4 linked regions of the Coturnix japonica genome follow. The protein of the gene in region 2 interacts with the protein of the main gene of each other region in a biochemical or structural test. Links are inferred from orthologs where the notes say so. Each region holds a gene or a part of one and is shown on either strand. Other genes may lie near its edges.

What was found. The genes of interacting proteins can lie anywhere in the genome.
Region 1: of the proteins of AKT1 (region 2) and FOXO3, one has a biochemical effect on the other in vitro, tested with the Homo sapiens proteins (2 studies listed by BioGRID and IntAct). The link is inferred for Coturnix japonica from reciprocal best matches to the Homo sapiens genes AKT1 and FOXO3.
Region 3: of the proteins of AKT1 (region 2) and MAPT, one has a biochemical effect on the other in vitro, tested with the Homo sapiens proteins (3 studies listed by BioGRID and IntAct). The link is inferred for Coturnix japonica from reciprocal best matches to the Homo sapiens genes AKT1 and MAPT.
Region 4: of the proteins of AKT1 (region 2) and EZH2, one has a biochemical effect on the other in vitro, tested with the Homo sapiens proteins (2 studies listed by BioGRID). The link is inferred for Coturnix japonica from reciprocal best matches to the Homo sapiens genes AKT1 and EZH2.

The regions. Positions count from the first base shown.
Region 1 is NC_029518.1:61,257,964-61,262,060, forward strand, and holds the start of FOXO3 (forkhead box protein O3), read right to left. Parts: upstream 2,824-4,097; 5' UTR 2,554-2,823; coding exon 1,969-2,553; intron 1-1,968. UniProt on the Homo sapiens protein: Transcriptional activator that recognizes and binds to the DNA sequence 5'-[AG]TAAA[TC]A-3' and regulates different processes, such as apoptosis and autophagy.
Region 2 is NC_029520.1:46,930,096-46,933,686, forward strand, and holds part of AKT1 (RAC-alpha serine/threonine-protein kinase), read right to left. Parts: intron 2,682-3,591; coding exon 2,467-2,681; intron 1-2,466. UniProt on the Homo sapiens protein: AKT1 is one of 3 closely related serine/threonine-protein kinases (AKT1, AKT2 and AKT3) called the AKT kinase, and which regulate many processes including metabolism, proliferation, cell survival, growth and angiogenesis.
Region 3 is NC_029542.1:2,390,807-2,395,124, forward strand, and holds the start of MAPT (microtubule-associated protein tau), read right to left. Parts: upstream 2,824-4,318; 5' UTR 2,739-2,823; intron 22-2,738; 5' UTR 6-21; coding exon 1-5. UniProt on the Homo sapiens protein: Promotes microtubule assembly and stability, and might be involved in the establishment and maintenance of neuronal polarity.
Region 4 is NC_029517.1:75,450,803-75,455,169, forward strand, and holds the start of EZH2 (histone-lysine N-methyltransferase EZH2), read right to left. Parts: upstream 2,824-4,367; 5' UTR 2,774-2,823; coding exon 2,715-2,773; intron 2,239-2,714; exon of another isoform or gene 2,027-2,238; intron 1-2,026. UniProt on the Homo sapiens protein: Polycomb group (PcG) protein. Catalytic subunit of the PRC2/EED-EZH2 complex, which methylates 'Lys-9' (H3K9me) and 'Lys-27' (H3K27me) of histone H3, leading to transcriptional repression of the affected target gene.

The sequences.
Region 1 (4,097 bases), on a different chromosome or scaffold from region 2:
CGGCTTCCCTTTATTTAAAACGACACTTTTCCCCCCTCAAGGCTGGAGAAGAATATTGTTAAGTGTGCCTGCAGCCTTCTAAAATAAACCTGGTTATGTGAAATTAAGATGAAGTCCGTCTGATACAGAGTTATTTTTCTGTTCACTTAAAATCTTAGGTTAAAACCTGAAAAAAAGCCCGGTGTGAGATGCTGACCTTACCTCCTGAAGAGTTGTGTTCACTACCTGAGAAGGAAACAGAGATGATAACATATAATGTGCGTGAGCACCGGGAGGCTAAGATGGAGTCCCTGTTTAAGAGTAGTGCCTCTGTACAAACTCACTTACTTTCAAAGTAGCTGAAATATCCCTCTTCCTAATACATACACAGGGACTGAAGTGGCCCCTGCTCTGCTCGGCAGCCCGTGGTCAGCTCCTGGCCTCCCTTAACCCTGCATCTCACTGCCTGAGCACGGCCCAACATGCTTCTGTGCCGATAAAGGTCACCCTAAAGGCTGCAGAGGGGCTTCTGAGCTAAACCGTATGAAAGAAATCCCAAGGGATCCAAGTTTTTAACACTGTAATTAGCTCCAAGTACCAGCTAATGCTGCTCAGGAAAGGAATCAATATCAAATTAACAGGCTAAGTTGTCAGAAAAAATAGTGACTGTATTAAGCACGCTGATCAATGCGAGCACTTGGTGCTATGGGCCGGGTCCTGCTGCTGAGGCAATGGGGAGCTCTGCCACCACATTCAGCTCAAGCAGCACAGCCCTGCTGCCTGCCCTTTGGAACAGTGATAGGGAGTTCACTGAAAATTCAACACAGCTGATAAAGGAGCAGCGTTTGCCACAGCAGCTGGCAGCGAGAGCCTCGGCTCAGTGTGCAGTACCTACTGAGCCGAGGCTGGCACCATGAGAATTTAACCCTTTGCCATACTCCATGATCACCCTCACACAACAGCCGGTGCAGCTCAGCTCCAACACTGCAGAGTACGTGGGTTTCAGAGCCCTGCCCCACATTAGCTATGCCCCAATAAACTTTGTGCTCCTGTTTTCCTGAGCCTGAGGTATGGCATCCCAACGCTTCCCCCACAGCACTCCACTTGGAACCTAGCAGCACGTCAGTCCTACTCCAGAACTACGGGGTGAGGCAGAGCTGCCAACAATGCAGCCAGAGCTGCTTCAACCCGCAGTATTCCTGACTGGTTCACGCACAGGTTAACCCTGATGCAAGGCAGGGAGAATCGAAGTAGAAACCAAACCTCCCTGTAGCACAAGGAAACTTCCTGCACACATGCCCTCAACAGCCCCATCCCTTAGCAGCAGCTGCGATGCCCCACACACCCCAGTAACGTTCTGCAGCAGCACCCACAGATCTGTATGGCCGCATGTCAGCTCCAAAGGGCCGACAGCCGGCCATGGGAACAAGCCCAAAGCAAGTGGGTCAGGCAGTGCCCACCTCACACCCCATTTACACTGGGTAAGCATTGCCGGGTTGTATGGGTGCAGGGCCTCTCTCTGCCAGGCTGGGTCCGTCAGCAACACAGTAGCGACCTCAGCGCAGCCTGCCGTGCTGTAAGCTGCTATCACCCCAACGGGCACGATAGATGGATGGGGTAAGTGAGGGGCACACAGGCTGGCAGCACCAAGCCATCACTCTCGCAAACCCTGTCATCTCCATATGAAAACGGAGCTTTGGGCTTCTCTCCACCACCTTTAGGAACGGCAGAGCTGGCAGTTGCTGGAGGAAAACGCAAGTCAATCTACATGTGAGCTTTGGGCTGGCACCGCACGAGAGCAACTCCGCTTATTTCTGTTGCGAGTTACAAGGTCCCTACAACTTGTACAAAATAAAAAGCCTTTAAGAACACCGTCTCCTGCCTTCCCTGCTCGTCCCCCTGCACCAGCCGGCGGCCGAGCGGCGAAAGTCCCATCCCTTCCCATCCTCGTCCCCTACGCTGCGGTCAGCCGGCAGCCCGTCCCCTCACCTTCCATCCGGCCGAGCTGTTGCTGTCGCCCTTATCCTTGAAGTAGGGCACGCACCGCACCATCCAGTCGTAGATCTGCGACAGGGTGAGCCGCTTCTCGGGGGAGCTCTCGATGGCGTGGGTGATGAGGTCGGCGTACGAGAGGTTGCCCCACGCGTTGCGCCGCGACGAGCACTTCCTCGGCGCCGCCGCCGCGGGGCCGCCGCCGCTCAGCCCCCCGCCGCCCGCCGCCGTGGCCGCTCCTCCCGGCGCCGGCCCGGGCCCCTCCGGGCCGCCTCCGGGCACGGGGACCGGCGGCCGCGCCGCCTCCTCGGGGCCGCCGGCGGCCGCCGCTTCGCCTCCCACGGGGGCCGCGCCGCCGACGGCCATGGCCGCGCCGCCCCCCTCCTCGTCGTCGTCCTCCTCCTCGGGGATCATGGAGGCGGCGTCGGCGGCCGGCTCGCCGGCGGGCTTGGCGGGGCTGGCCTGCAGTTCGGGCCTCTGCAGCGGCCAGGTGCAGGAGCGGGGGCGGCTCTGCGGCTCGAACTCGGGGTCCAGCTCCACGTCCAGGGGCGAGAGCGGCCCGGGGGGCGACGCCTCTGCCATCTCGGCCTCCCTCGGGGGCGGCTGCGGCGGCGGCGGGGCGCTGCGACGGGGCGGGCGGCCGCCGGCCCCGCTCCTCCTCCGCCGCCGCCTGCTCGGTGCCGCCGGGAGCCTAGCGGGCGGGCATGCCGCTCCCCGCGGGCACGGAGCGAACGGGCGAAGCCGGCGAAAACAACGAACGGAGAGCGAAAAACGCGATTCAATCGGGCGGAGCGCCGGAGCGCGGTGCCGGGGTGCGCTCGGCGCCGCGAGTGTGCGTTTGTTTATGTTTCTTCACTCCATGCGGGCTCTCCGGCTGCGTCCGCGCCGTACCTGGCCGTGGGGGCCGGCGAGCACCTTCCCTTCCTCGGGGGGTCCTGCGCTCGTCCCGGGGAGGCACCGAGGAGTCCGTCCTTCTTCGGGACGCCCCGAGGGGAGCGTGGATCCCTGCGCGCTGATCGCCGTCACTTCGCCTTGCCCCCAAACACAGCGGCACCTCCTCGCCAGAAGAAAGGAAAAAAAAAATAACAACACCACAAAAAACCCACAACGTAATAATAACGATAGAAATCCTTTCTCTCACGGGGGAAAAAGCGAGCACGAGAGGGACGGATCGGCGCTCCTCCAACAGGTCCGGGAGCTTTAAGCCCTCCCTCGGGCTGCCGAAGCGAATGGGTTTTGTTCCAGCAGCACCGCCGCGCTCGTAACCTCGGCGCTCATAACCTCCGTGCTCCTGCCGCTGCCATCTTGACAGTTCCCTCCGCTCCAGTCACCGAAAAACCGCGGCCGGGGAGCGGTGGGGACAGAGCCGACGACCGCCCCCAGGCCAGCGGAAAGGCGAAGCCCAGCGCCCGGCAGCGGCGGTGCTGGTGTTGGCGATACAGCCGCTCCTGCCGCTGCGCGGCTCCGCTCCGCCCGCTCTGCGCCCGGGGCTCGGCGGAGCCTTCCCTTTAAAGGCGACGCGGGGGGAGGCGGCGAGGCGAGCGGCCCGGCTGCCGCAGCCCGCCCCAGCTGCCCGTGGCCCTGCCGGCCGCCAGTTGGCACGTCCCTCCTCCTCCTCGCCACAACACAAAGTTATAGCCGCGCGCACACAGCCGCAACCTAACCCAACGCAACGCAGCGCCCGCCCACGGGCGGGGCCCAGCGGGGCCTCCCACACAGGGCGGGGAGACGGGAGCGGAGCGCGGCCGGGCCCCTGCGCCCCTCCGCCGGGGGGAGCGGGGACGGTGGTACAGTGTCGTTGCATGTCCGCCCGTGTATCCTCTTGGATTTAAGCAACATGGGTGATTTCACTACTCCATACGCTGAGTTTGTGTCACGTTCGCCCGATCTGCTGCCTAATCCCACCTGCAGGTAGCTCTGCTTGTCGCAGTGGAGCAATAGCGCGCCTCCTAACTGGGCTGTGAATTGTGCGTACAAGTTATTCTTGTGTTACCTCCGGAGTCCAGTTTTGGTCCTGTTTTTGGTGCCGTGTTCAGGCAGCAGGGTGGAGAACACTCAGCCGATGCCCACGTGAAGGCCATCACCCCACTGTGTTCTCCACCCCTGACGGAAGGGCCTCAGAAGCT
Region 2 (3,591 bases):
CAAAAGAAACTTCAAAATTCCTTTTCTCTTACAAAATGGATTTTATATGACCAAATTTAGAAAACAGCTATTATTAAAAGCAGAATGCAATTTACTGTTCTTCATATTTTCCCCATATGCCTGGGAGTTGCTATTACCAAAAGCAGAACGCTAACACTGCTCCTCTATTTCCAGCTCACGTACAACAGGTAATTTGTAAGATTTAATTCACCAACTCCGGTCACAATTCATTACCAACTTACAGTGAGTTTCATTATTTCAACTTTTTTGGGGGTTGAGGTGAGAGGGATTTTACTGGAAAGGAGAATACGTCCCTGTTTCATTTTCCTTTTGCTCATCTCTGTCCCACTCTCAAGCCCACTAGCAGTAACTAAATGCAAGTGATGATGCTTTCTGCCACAGACCCTACAATGAAGCCAACTTTGCCAACCACTGGGCTTTGCTAAGGAGGGGATTTCTGTTGAATTACACGAATTCCCCCAAACATCATTGATAGGCTAATGTGGAATGGACTGCTGGGCATGACGTAATTTCAACTGACTGTACTTTGAGGCTATCTGGGTGTTTTCCTTTAACGTGGCTGAATGACCTCATAATGAGTCAATCACCACATCTGTCAGGCGCCCACCCCAACACAGACCACACCGTGTGAACAGCTGACAGTAAAACCCATAACAAGGGCAGGGCAGGACTCAGGACTGCCACCTCCCAGTGCCCCCAGCTCACCTCTCCCTGCTGCCTGAAACGCCACCCAGTGCACTGCATTGCAGAATCCCAACTGCAATTCAAAAGCTGAATGTACAGTGATTGGGGAGAAACCAGTATTTAAGAATGGTCCACGATCCAAAAAGCTTGGGGAGGCACGGTGTAATTAGCAAGGTGCAGGCTTCTCTACTCTATAGTTATTTCTATCAGCAGCAGGAAAATCATCTGTCCAACACATCAGAGCATCAGTGGTTCCAAGCCTGCTGAAGATACATGTGAAGAAGTGGCTATTTGTATAAAATGAGCATGCTGTGGAGTAATTATTGGCATTGGAGAAACCTTGCAATCAGAAACAAGTGGGCGTTCTTTGTTTGTAAACAAACTGTATTTTGGTTCATCAGAGATGCTCCTTTAAGAACAAATTACAGCAGATGCTACTTGTGTTTCCAGAGATTGAAAGGCACCACCTGAATAAGCTACAAGAGGGTCACAACTGTATTTAACCCAGGGCTTTTCTAGACAGGAATCCCGTTGGCAGGGGCTGCAGCCACATTTGCTGTGTGGAGTACCCAGGGGGTTGCTAATCCATCACACAATTGAAAGCAGTGATGGAAGCAGTCCACTCCTGTGACAAAAATCCCTGCTCCAAGAAATCCAATACTGGCAAAAACCATTTTCACGTTAAGTGTGTGTGTACGCACCAACTAAACAAACATCACAAAAACTGGGATACTTGTTACCTACACCTCATGTGAAAGGTTTCCTAGCTTGAGTTCTTTTATGGTGGGAAGGTTCAGAGTCACTATCTTCGTTTGTTTAAAAAGTGTCTGGGCTGACAAGATAGCAGGTTTTCAGACTGATGTTTACCCTTAGTGCAAAGGTCAACATCCTTTTTGGATCCTGTTCTATTTTTTGTTACATTTTGTTTGTTAGCCATTAAGGATTTGAGGTTTTCTTTTTTTTGCTGACGTTGTTTTTGTTTGGTATTAAGACAGAGGTTACTTTTTCAAAACAAAAGGAGGAAATGGGAAAAGTAGATTAAAGCACAGTATGAATTCCACCATAAACATGGTACTAACACCACCACCTGCTGTCCAAAGCAGGATGACAGATCACTGGCACTGACTGAACAGAAAATTCAGAAAGCTTACTGTAAGCAGCCCAAACTTGGATAGATGGTAAAAGAATTACTGCAGAGCAGCTGATAACTCACAGCAACGATCAGATTAATTATGACCAAAAGCAAGGTTAACTTGCTTTGTCCCAGGCCATAGTTGGCAGCCACCATATTCTGAAGGTCAAGCTTCTGATCAACAAAACTGCTTCACGTTGCCACCTGCAAGCCAGCTTGAGTCAAAAGTTAAGCTGAAACCAAATAGGTCTGTGCGCTACATCCCTCAGCTCTACTTGGTGGATGATAATTTTGTGCCAGTTAAAAACAAATCCAGAATTTCATCCAAAATGCCTTCCTCATTTTGAAATACAGAAATACTGGCATGAGTGCATTCAGTATCCCCTTGGGCAGAATCCTCTTCAATTGCTTCTCAATGGTGGAGATATGGATCATTTAAATGGCAGCACAGGAAGAGCCACTTAAAGTCACTTGCCTAAAAAAACAGCTCCCTTTCACAGACATACCTCTATGTAGCAAAGTTATTAACTTTTCTTGTGAAGGCCTTAAAATACATTTTTCCTTGACTTATTATGCTACTTCTGAGTGCACAAGTGTTTAAAAACACAAATATTAAGAAACAGTCTCACCTCTGCTTAGGATCTTTCTTCAGCAAGCCTGACAAGAGAGATTTTGCTTCAGGTGACAAAGTGCGTGGAAATCTAATCTCTTCCATAAGGATGAGTTCAAAGAGCTTTTCATGGTCCTGATTGTAGAAAGGGAGCCGGCCACACATCATTTCATACATTACAACTCCTAATCCCCACCAGTCCACTGCACGACCATAGTCATTATCTTCCAGCACCTGTACAGGGGTAAGGAGAAGGCTTTAGAAGGCATTCCTACATTGGGAATGAACTCAAGAGGCAAAATTAACACCAGCAAATTTCATGTTCTCGCATTACACAGCTGAATCTATTAGCACAGAGTGTTTTCAGAAGATCCTCCTTGAAAACAAAGGTCAAAGGAGACAAAGGAGAGCACTGTAGATGAGCAAGATGGGGAAGAGAAGAAAGTGTGCACGTTATGTCAACTTTCCTCTTCTCTTCCTTCTTCCACCCTCCCCCCTCTCATTACATCCATGGTAAGTAAGCAGAACCTTTGAAAGCCCAAAGGCTGAGGACTGTTCTCACATTACAGAGCCAGCTGCTGAATTTTCACTTATTCATCACAAACTGTTCCAAGTGGGATCTCATTAAAACATATATATACATATATATATATATATGTGTGTGTGTGTGTGTGTGTGTGTGTGTGTTTTTGTTTTTTTTTTTAAATGAGATCCCATTTAGAACAGTATGTATATACACACACACACACATCATCAAGGAGCCACTTTGGGAAGAGGTGAAAAGCCCATCGGTCTGTTACTTCACAGGCAACAAACTGAACATCACAATCATCCCTGTATTAACCTGCTCCTACTCAAAGGGCTACTCTGCACATCACAAAAGACCACCCACACACACACACCAAATGACTAACCCACATTCAGCCCTATGAGCCAGAACTCCCCTCCTAACACCTGACCCACTGCAAGGCTGTAAAATGGCAGCCAATATGAAATACTTCCCTTCCTCCCTCCTGTGGGACTTGCACACTGGCTGCAATACTGAAGGCCCTCACATCAGGGGTAAGCTTCTTCCAGTTCTCACAGCAGAAGAGGTTCAGCACATTCATTTTTTCCCCTCCCCTGGGCATTTCTACCCAACAAA
Region 3 (4,318 bases), on a different chromosome or scaffold from region 2:
GCCATCTTGCAGCCAAGTTACCTGAAGAAGGAAACAAAAGCAATGATTGCAAAGCCTGGAGCCTTGTTGGTGTGCTCCAAACCACCTCAGCTCCATCCCAGGAGCATCCTCTGGCCAGCAATGAGCCAACAAATGCACGCTGCCTCCTCAGCCACAGCAAGAAGGGAGCTGCTTTATCTCCTTTCCTTGATGAGACCCCAAATCACATCACAGTGTGCAGGGATGCTCAGGATACACAGATGCCCATTGGGTTTCACATCACAGTGTGCAGGGATGCTCAGGATACACAGATGCCCATTGGGTTTCACATAGCTGTGCTCAAACACTCCCCAGAGCATCCTGTGCCCCCACATTCACCAGGAGCACATTCCACCCGCACTCATTGAGCAGTGCAAAGTGCTAACACACCAAACCAGGACCTCAGGGGGCTTTTAAAAGTGCTTAAAGGAAGAGAACCCAACAACAAACACAAGCTGCAGGCACCATGCCTGTCCTTCTGATTGGACAGACATGGATTTTAGTTGACTTCCTAATAGCTGATGTAATTACAGCCACTGGCAGTGATTAATAACAGGCTATTAGTGTAATCGTGTGCTTGCCATGACCGTCAGGAGCAAATGGATGCAGCAGTGAGGCTCGGGTCACTGCAAGCAAGGAAGCAAACACACGTGGTTTTGTTTGCTGGCAAGAAATAAACAGGATATATGGAACCGAGCAAGAGAAGCTCCAATGGCAGTAAGCAGAGCTCCTGCCCAGCTTCTTTAAGCCTTAGGAAGATGAATGTACAACTTCACTGCTGCCTTTGACAGCCACAAAGCTTGGACAAGGACAGCCCTCCCAGCCCAGCTCACTGAGCACCCACACACCTTTGTGTGTGCTGACCCAGATGCAGACCATCCACTCATCCCACTGCTGGGTTCCAATGATGCTCACGTCCTCCTCTCCTGCCCCCCCCCCGCCCCAGTGTTTGGAATGGAGCTCTCAGCACCTCTCTTTGAAAGTCACATTTAGTGCTTTCCTGCCTCTGGACAAGAATTTCCTGGGCCACCATCCAGCACTGACTCCTGGCTCCACATCCAGCTCACATTCCCAGCCTGGGGCTCATCTGCCCGTTCTGTGGACAGGGTTCAGCTCAGCTCAGCTCAAGACGTCCCACTTCTCCTCCGAGCTCAGCATTTCAGCATCTGTGCAGCCCTGGCACGGCAGCAGCCAGCAGTGATTCAGCAAAGGCCATGGAGCCGCCTGCCTGCAGTGCTGGCTCTCACTGCTGCTTTCTGACACCAGGAAACGTTTGGCTGCTTCTTAGGGAACCCGTCGGTCTCACTGTCTCTCTATGAGCTGCAAAAAAATCCTTTAATGCTGTTCTGCTCACAGCTGGGCACAGACAGCCCTGCTCCCATTGAGCTCCATGCATGGCTGGAGCTGAAGGAGCGGGGATGGGCTCCTAATTAATTTTGCAGAGATAAGAGCTGCCCGTTAGGTTACAAGGAAAAAAGCATCACCTAAAGCCACAAAGAGCCGAGGATTAAATCACCCAGATGCCCCCTGAGAGCTGCAGGACACACAACTGTTTGGACAGAGGGACTTTGGGGAGCAGCAGCATCTCCCAATGGGGCTGGATGGCTTCGTGCTGTGCCTGCAGGGCAGCAGGATGGAAGCAGGCTCTCCCTGCAAGGGCTGGGATGCAAAAGCATTACAACAGGGCTGATAAAGCTTCAGCACAACAGAGAGGTAAACAAACGACACCAAGCAGTCCAGAGGGTGAGGCCAAGTGAGCCAGCAGCACCATTATCTCTTAGCTGCAAAGCTCTCCCAGCTGGGTTGGAAATACACAGGCTGTATCATCACGCAGTCATATTCAACACTATAAAGGCGTTTTATGCCTCTCTGATGGATGCTGGAGTCCATTCTCCCCCACATCAGCTAAAAGCAGGATCAGAACATGAGGGGGATGCACATAGTTGTGGCTCGGATCCGTCCTGCTGCAACCAGGAAGCAAAACCAAAGGGCTCATCCACAAAGCGCTTCTTATTCTAAGGGGGGTTGAAAACTGCACGTCTATGAGTTACAAACAACATCTGAGATGACAAACCTTCTGCTTCTCAAGTGGAGGAGGAGGAAATCCCTCCCGTGAAAGGGAAAAGATGTTCCAAAAGGCCGTAAGAACAGCCTCAAAGCAATGGGTTGGGAATGAGTAACTCAACAAGGAGAGCTGCAGAGCTCAACGTCAGCAGGGCACCATGCAGGAGATAAAGCACACAGCCCTACCAAGAGCCTTATCCCCTTCCAGCAGGACTATCCCCACCAAACAGGGGCCCTATCTAAGCAGCAACAGCCCACTGTGGTGTTAACAGCCCCTCAAGCCCCATTAACAGCCCCAGGCTTCCCATGGGGGCACAGATATCCGAGCTCAGCCCACCAGCACCATTAACTCCATACACACAACCCAGTCAGGTCCCTCAGCCTAAAGGTGCCCCCTAAGAGTCAAACCCAGAGTCAAAGCCAGCAGGATCTGATGCCAAAGTCCCTGCAGGGCCACCAGCAGCATCAGGATGTATCACCATCCATCACAATGGCACTGCACAGCTCTCATCCTGCTGCTATGGCCACACACTGTGCCCTCCAGCTGGGAATGCTGATGTCCCAAATGAAGCCTGGCAGCTCAAACTCTTCCTGCCTTGATGTGACGTTTCCCCGCAATGACAGGTGAATAAAAACCAGGGCTGAAAACAACGTACCCTATTGATAGCAGCCTGGGTTGGCTGAGAGGAGGAAAGCAGATGCTGGGGACCACACAGCTGTGCTTGGGTGGCACTCAGCCTTCTGTCCTGTGTGACAGATGACATCACAAAGGAGCAAAACCAAAAGGCTTCTGGTGCCAGGGGCTGAGCTGTCCTGCATGCTGTGTGCATCCCCCCACCCCCAGCAGCCCCAGCATCAGCTCACCCTGCCAGCTCTGCATGGATTCAGGGCTGTTCCCCACAGCCCCTGGGATCACAGAGCTGGGAACTGATGCTTCCATTCACATGGGCTAAAATTCCCCATATAAACCATGGATTGACAGACCTGCTGGTGGCCATTATGGGCCATGCATTTCTGCAGTGCTTGGAGAGATGCAGGCTGTGTTTGCACGCTCTGCTGCACACCCCAAGCAAGCACAAGGGGAGCAGCTGCATCCCAGCTCCTGCTCAGCTCCTTCCTTCCCCATTATTCCACCTGCAAGGGTGGCTTGTGTTACTTGAAAGCTCAACAAACATGAGCCAGCCTCGTGTTCCCTCCGACAGGTGATCAAACACAAACAGGTTGGGATGGGGTTGGTTGTTTTTTGCCCCCATTTGAATTACTCAATTAAAACGGAGCGACGGCCCCGTGAAATAACAGCAGCTTGAAAGGCTCTTCATAATTCATAAGCAGCTTCTTTTTCATCTCCTTTGTGCACTTAGCTCTTCCAAGGAGCTTGACAGGCGAAGGAATACGGGCAGTGATCTCATCAACTGCAAGCAAAGCTTAATATGGAGCGAGATGAGAAATCACAGCAAGGCAGGGGGGCAGGAAACTTCCTTTATGTTCAAAGGCAAACACAGAAGGAACTGCAAAAGGAATCCTTTCAGAAATGCATTCTTCATCATTGCTCACCTTTAACCTGTGTGTTATTAAGGCCTGGGTTACCAAGACCAGGCAGTGAATGCTCCACAGCTCTGGAAAGGAGCATTAAAAAGGAATAGCAAAGTTGGGGCTGCAAACACAGGAGCTCAAGGAATGGTCAGTTAAATACCCCCTTACAAACCCAACCTGTCCCAGCTCTGAGCACTGCATGCCCTCACCAGCTGGCTCAGGTTGCCAGAGACAAGCCAAGTGATGCTCACGTGCTGGCACGTTCCTCAGCATTGCTGAGAATTAAACTAACAGAATTTGCCATCCCAAATCAGCTTAAGGGCTGGCTCAGCAGCTGCCTCCTCACTGGGTGGCAATTAGGAGGGCAGATTATCCGAGCCCACCCTGAGCAGTGAGAGCAGCCGGTCCATGGGGAGCAGCAATGGTTCTGTGCCCCAACAGCACAGCCCTGCAAACTGGAACCTGCTGGGAGCCACATTGCATTGCAGGAATATGAAGCCTACACCTTGCATTATTGCCTCACCCCAAAACCACACACCTGAGGGCCAACCCGCTGCTATTGCTGCCACCCTTCCCTCATCTTCCATCCCTTCCTACCTTTCTTCTTCCCTCTGATCCAGCTGACCGAGCAGAATGCAATGCCCTGCAGCACCGATGTCCCTGTGCACACCCAGGAGGAGCACAGCACAGTGAGCTGCTGGAG
Region 4 (4,367 bases), on a different chromosome or scaffold from region 2:
TCACTAATGTACTACAAGAATTCCCTACTTGCTAAGCCAAAGTTTCCTTGTAGATAAGCTGAAGTACATTTACATCTCACCTACAAATGCCATATCATAGAACAAATATAAACCCATTAGAAGGCATATTTCCAACAAAGTCACCCACGATATTTCAACTCATTGAAAATTCTAGGTAGAAGAAAATACCATGTGGAAAGCAAAAAATTTTGAATTTCTAGTCTCCAGCCTAAGCTTATAGACTATTGCTTTATCTGATTTTAAACTGAGCAAAGACTTTTAATGTTCTTCTGCCAATAAGTATTTTCAGTGTATGTCACTTTCAGAGTAATATTTTAGAATGTCTAAAAAAGTATTTTATTGCATAAAACTTTTGAATAATACCTCCTAAAGTACTAGAACCGTGTTTTCTGAAAGACACTGTAAGCCTTATCTATATTATTATGATCTAATATAAAGCAAGGATAGCTACCATACACTGTGGACAAGTAATACTCACCCTTCTGAAGATGCGTTATTGTTATCACAATTAAACATTCCCTGAACTCTCAATTTGATACAGACACTGGGGACAAACAAAGAATGACCTTTTAATTTTTACAAGTCACAAAGAACCGGAATGTGCCAAGCCCTAAAAATAATAATAATAAATTAAAAAATAATGGAAAAAAAGGGGGGTGGGGTAGGGGGAAAGAGGAAAAAGAGAAAAAGAGAGAAAGGACTTGTATATGAGGAAATCTCCGTTTAGAAGTTTATCGTGTACTAAAAATACCAGTAAAGTCTCGCTGAAGTACTGAACGGTTGGATCTGCAATTGCTCGACTTGCACAAAGACAAACCTATCCTGCAACAAATAAACAGACCAAACAAAAACAAAACCAAAAAACCAAACAGAGAAAAAAACCAAGGCCCTAGTTCCAATGAAATATACTGTTTCATAACTTTGAAAAAGTATCTTGAGCCAGGTACAGGTTCATTATACCATTTTTGCTACATTATGCTGAGACTGCTTTTCTTTCTGCCCATTCCTAATAATTTTTGGATGTTCGTACTTAACACCAGATACACATGCGTTGCGCTACAATACATTGATTTCATCACCTTTGTCTGATCACACACACGCCTGTTGCTCCAGCACAACTCCGTCCCTTTCACACCTCCCCAAACATGCCGATTTCAGAGATCGCCCCACACACCCGCGCTTTGCGACATTAGGTCTCCAACTCAGCAGTTCCAGCTCCCTCCGAACTCTGGAGGGCCGGTTAGCCGAGCAGCGCCCTTCCCGACGAGGAAGTTGGCCGGACAGATTGACTCCCGCGCCGTCCCCGCTCTCCCGCACTCGGTGCCCGTGAAACTCGCCGGGGGCTGGAGAGCCCCGTCGCAGACTGGCCGGCGGGACGGCAACGTGCGAGGGCGAGAGTGGGAACGCTCCGCTTCCGGGACACCGCGGGCACATGGGGCTGCCGCGGACCTACTCGCACCCCAGGGCGGGGGCTACCGCCGCGTAACAACTTCTGCACCGTGCTTCTCTCTCGGAGGGGGCTGAGGCGGACAGAACGGACTTGTCTTCGCGTTTCGGACTCACCGAGACCTCACCTTGCGTACGTTTAACACACGGATCCCCCCGCCGACCCCTCAGCGAAACCGTGCCAGAGGCAGCCGCCACCACAGGAGGCCGGCAGGAACGGGGAGGAGAGGAAACAGCCGGCTCCTACCCGCTCTTTCTCCCGCACGGCGCCAGTCGCCCCCCCCGCCCAAGGCTCCGCTCCGCCGAGCGCGGCGCGGCCAGGATGGACAGAGCCAACTCAGACAAAAGGCACCGTCGGCTCCGCGCCGCTCCCTCCGCTGTCAACGGCTGCAGAGCGGGCGCGAATCTCGCTGCCGCCCCCCACCCCATCCCGTTCCTTCAAGCGCGACGCGGCGCGCTGCTCGGGACCGAGGCGGTCGCGCCCTCCCTGTCTGCCTCCCCACCCCCCATAACAAAGGGAGTCGGTTATAAATAACTGCTCCCGGCCCGCAGCCCGTACGGTGGTTGTGGTGCTGCTGCCGCTGCCGTCCAGCTCACCCGTCCCCTCGCTCCAATCTCGTGCCACCGCCACCACAGCCGCTTCGCTCCCCGACTCTTCTTCCCTCCTGCCTCCGGCTGCCGGATTCACCCTCCCGGACCGAGCGCCAAATACAGTGGCCCAATCGGTAACACGTTCATTGGCGAGAGCCGAGCGCCGCCCCGATTGGACGGACGCGGACGGAGCGCCCCGAGCCAATCAGGGGCGGAGAGGGGCGGGGAGAGGGGCGGGGTCCGTGCCCCACGTGCTGGCGGGAAGGAGGGGTGGGGGAGCTCTTTGTTCTCGCGCTGCCGCCCGGGCTGGCGGTTTTGTGCCCTCTTTGCCCGTCCGTGTAGCTGAGCGGGCAGCGGGTCTGGAGTTTGAGGTGCTCCGGCCGCCGCCTCACGGGGACTGGGGAGGGGAGGGAGGCGAGGGGTCCGACGGGAGCGGGGAGGGGCCTCGCGTCTCAGTGCTGCTGAGTTTGAATCAGTTCGAAAGTGGGAGCTGTAACGGTTTTAACAGTCGTGCTGCTGCTTCCGCGCGCTGCAGAGAGGGGAGGGGACGGGACGGGACGGGACGGGACAGGACGGAGAACTGGGAGAGGCGCGTCTGCGACCAGGCGGGAAGATCCAGGCGGGGACTGGGGGTGTTGTTGGCAGGAGCTGCTTACCTCAGCACGGCCCGCTCCCTGCCCGTCGCTTCCGCGGCGGGCTCTCTCCTTCCCGGCATTGCGCCGTGCCGAGCGTTGGCTGGCTGAGTCACTAACCAGAGTACGTGATGCATCCTCCTGCCGTGTCATCTGACCTTTGCGCACCCAAACCTAGCACGTATCTGTCCTTTTGTTTCACGCTGTTGCTCACGAATTTTGGTGCCTTGCTGTTCTGTAACCAGCATGGATTCTTAACTGTCAAAATCCCATTGTGTCCCATCTTGGCAGTGATGGTAAATCACAGCAACAGCAAGGTGTCCATTCTGCATAAGGCTGGGATCCTGTTGCTAGTGATACACTGTCTCTAGCCTAAGGTTGCTACCATTTTCCCTCGTTTTTATTCTACGACTCAGTCACGTTGACAAGGAGGTACTTTAAACCTCAAGGATTCATTCCCCCTTAGCCTTCTTTTGTCTCACTGTTTGGCCACTGCAGCCCTTCTTTGTTGACTGGAAAAACAAAATTGCCAAGATAAGATCATGGTGGGAAACTTCCATGTATGCTTGTCACCATCTCTCCTTCCTAAGCCTCCTGTGTTCAGCACTACTTCTGAGGTAGAATGGATTGTGAGCCTTGTACCCTTACTGTCTGTTACCAGTGTTTCTCACCTTCCCTTGCAAATCACTTCTGATACATTCAACTACCTTGTCTCATCTTTGTGTGAAGCCCAAAAATTAGCACTGTCCACCATAATGAGGTTCTGAATGATAAAAATCCTATGAGAGAAGATCATTGACACAGCTTCATGCCCAAATCTTTCAGCTGCATTATAGGCCAAACAAGGATCAGAGTTCTTTTAATGTGGAACAGAAATTATTTCCTCTTATGTTTGCATGTCACGAAACGATATATTGTCATACTCTTTCTTTGATTCTACTAGAGTAGATGACCTTTTCCAAGATTACGTTAAAACTATCAACTTTGCAAAATGTCAGTCATTTCTTGAAATTCAGCTATTTAAATCTATTCTGCTCCAAGATGGCTGGCACCACCAAAATGGCTACCCAGTCTCTTCACAGCTTGGAACTTGTAGTTTTTTTATTGTTAGAATTGCACTTCATGAGATCTTATCTTAGTCTATATATATATATATATATATATATACAACTCCTGTGCTAAATAAGCATAGCGTAACTTTAAGCAAGCACTATAGTCAGTCACAAGGTGAAAAAAAGATGTGTGGAGACAACACTGAACTCAATTGCAGTACACGCTTCAGTTTTTGTCTTGCACAGAAAGTTATTCACCTGCTGTACGTGAAGCTAATGCTTACTAGAAAATAAAACACATTTTGAATGGAACTACTCTTTCTGTTTTGCACTCTGTGAAAACAATCTTTCCATGCTGCATTTCAGTTCTAGAAGTGATGAATCCTCAGTGAGGATCTCCACGAAGTGTCAATTTTCTGATCATATGGGCTATTTAAAATAACCTGGAGAATTCTGGCAGCTTGTTTCTTTTTTTCTGCACGTGGATGCTTAATGTTGTAATGAGCTGCTTATAGACTTTCTGTTTTCATGGAGTAAACCACCCAAACATTTTTCTGTTCTGCTGCATTTTCATGATTAAAGAATGCCTGAACACCAATCTGCATTATGAAGAGGCATTTGGACC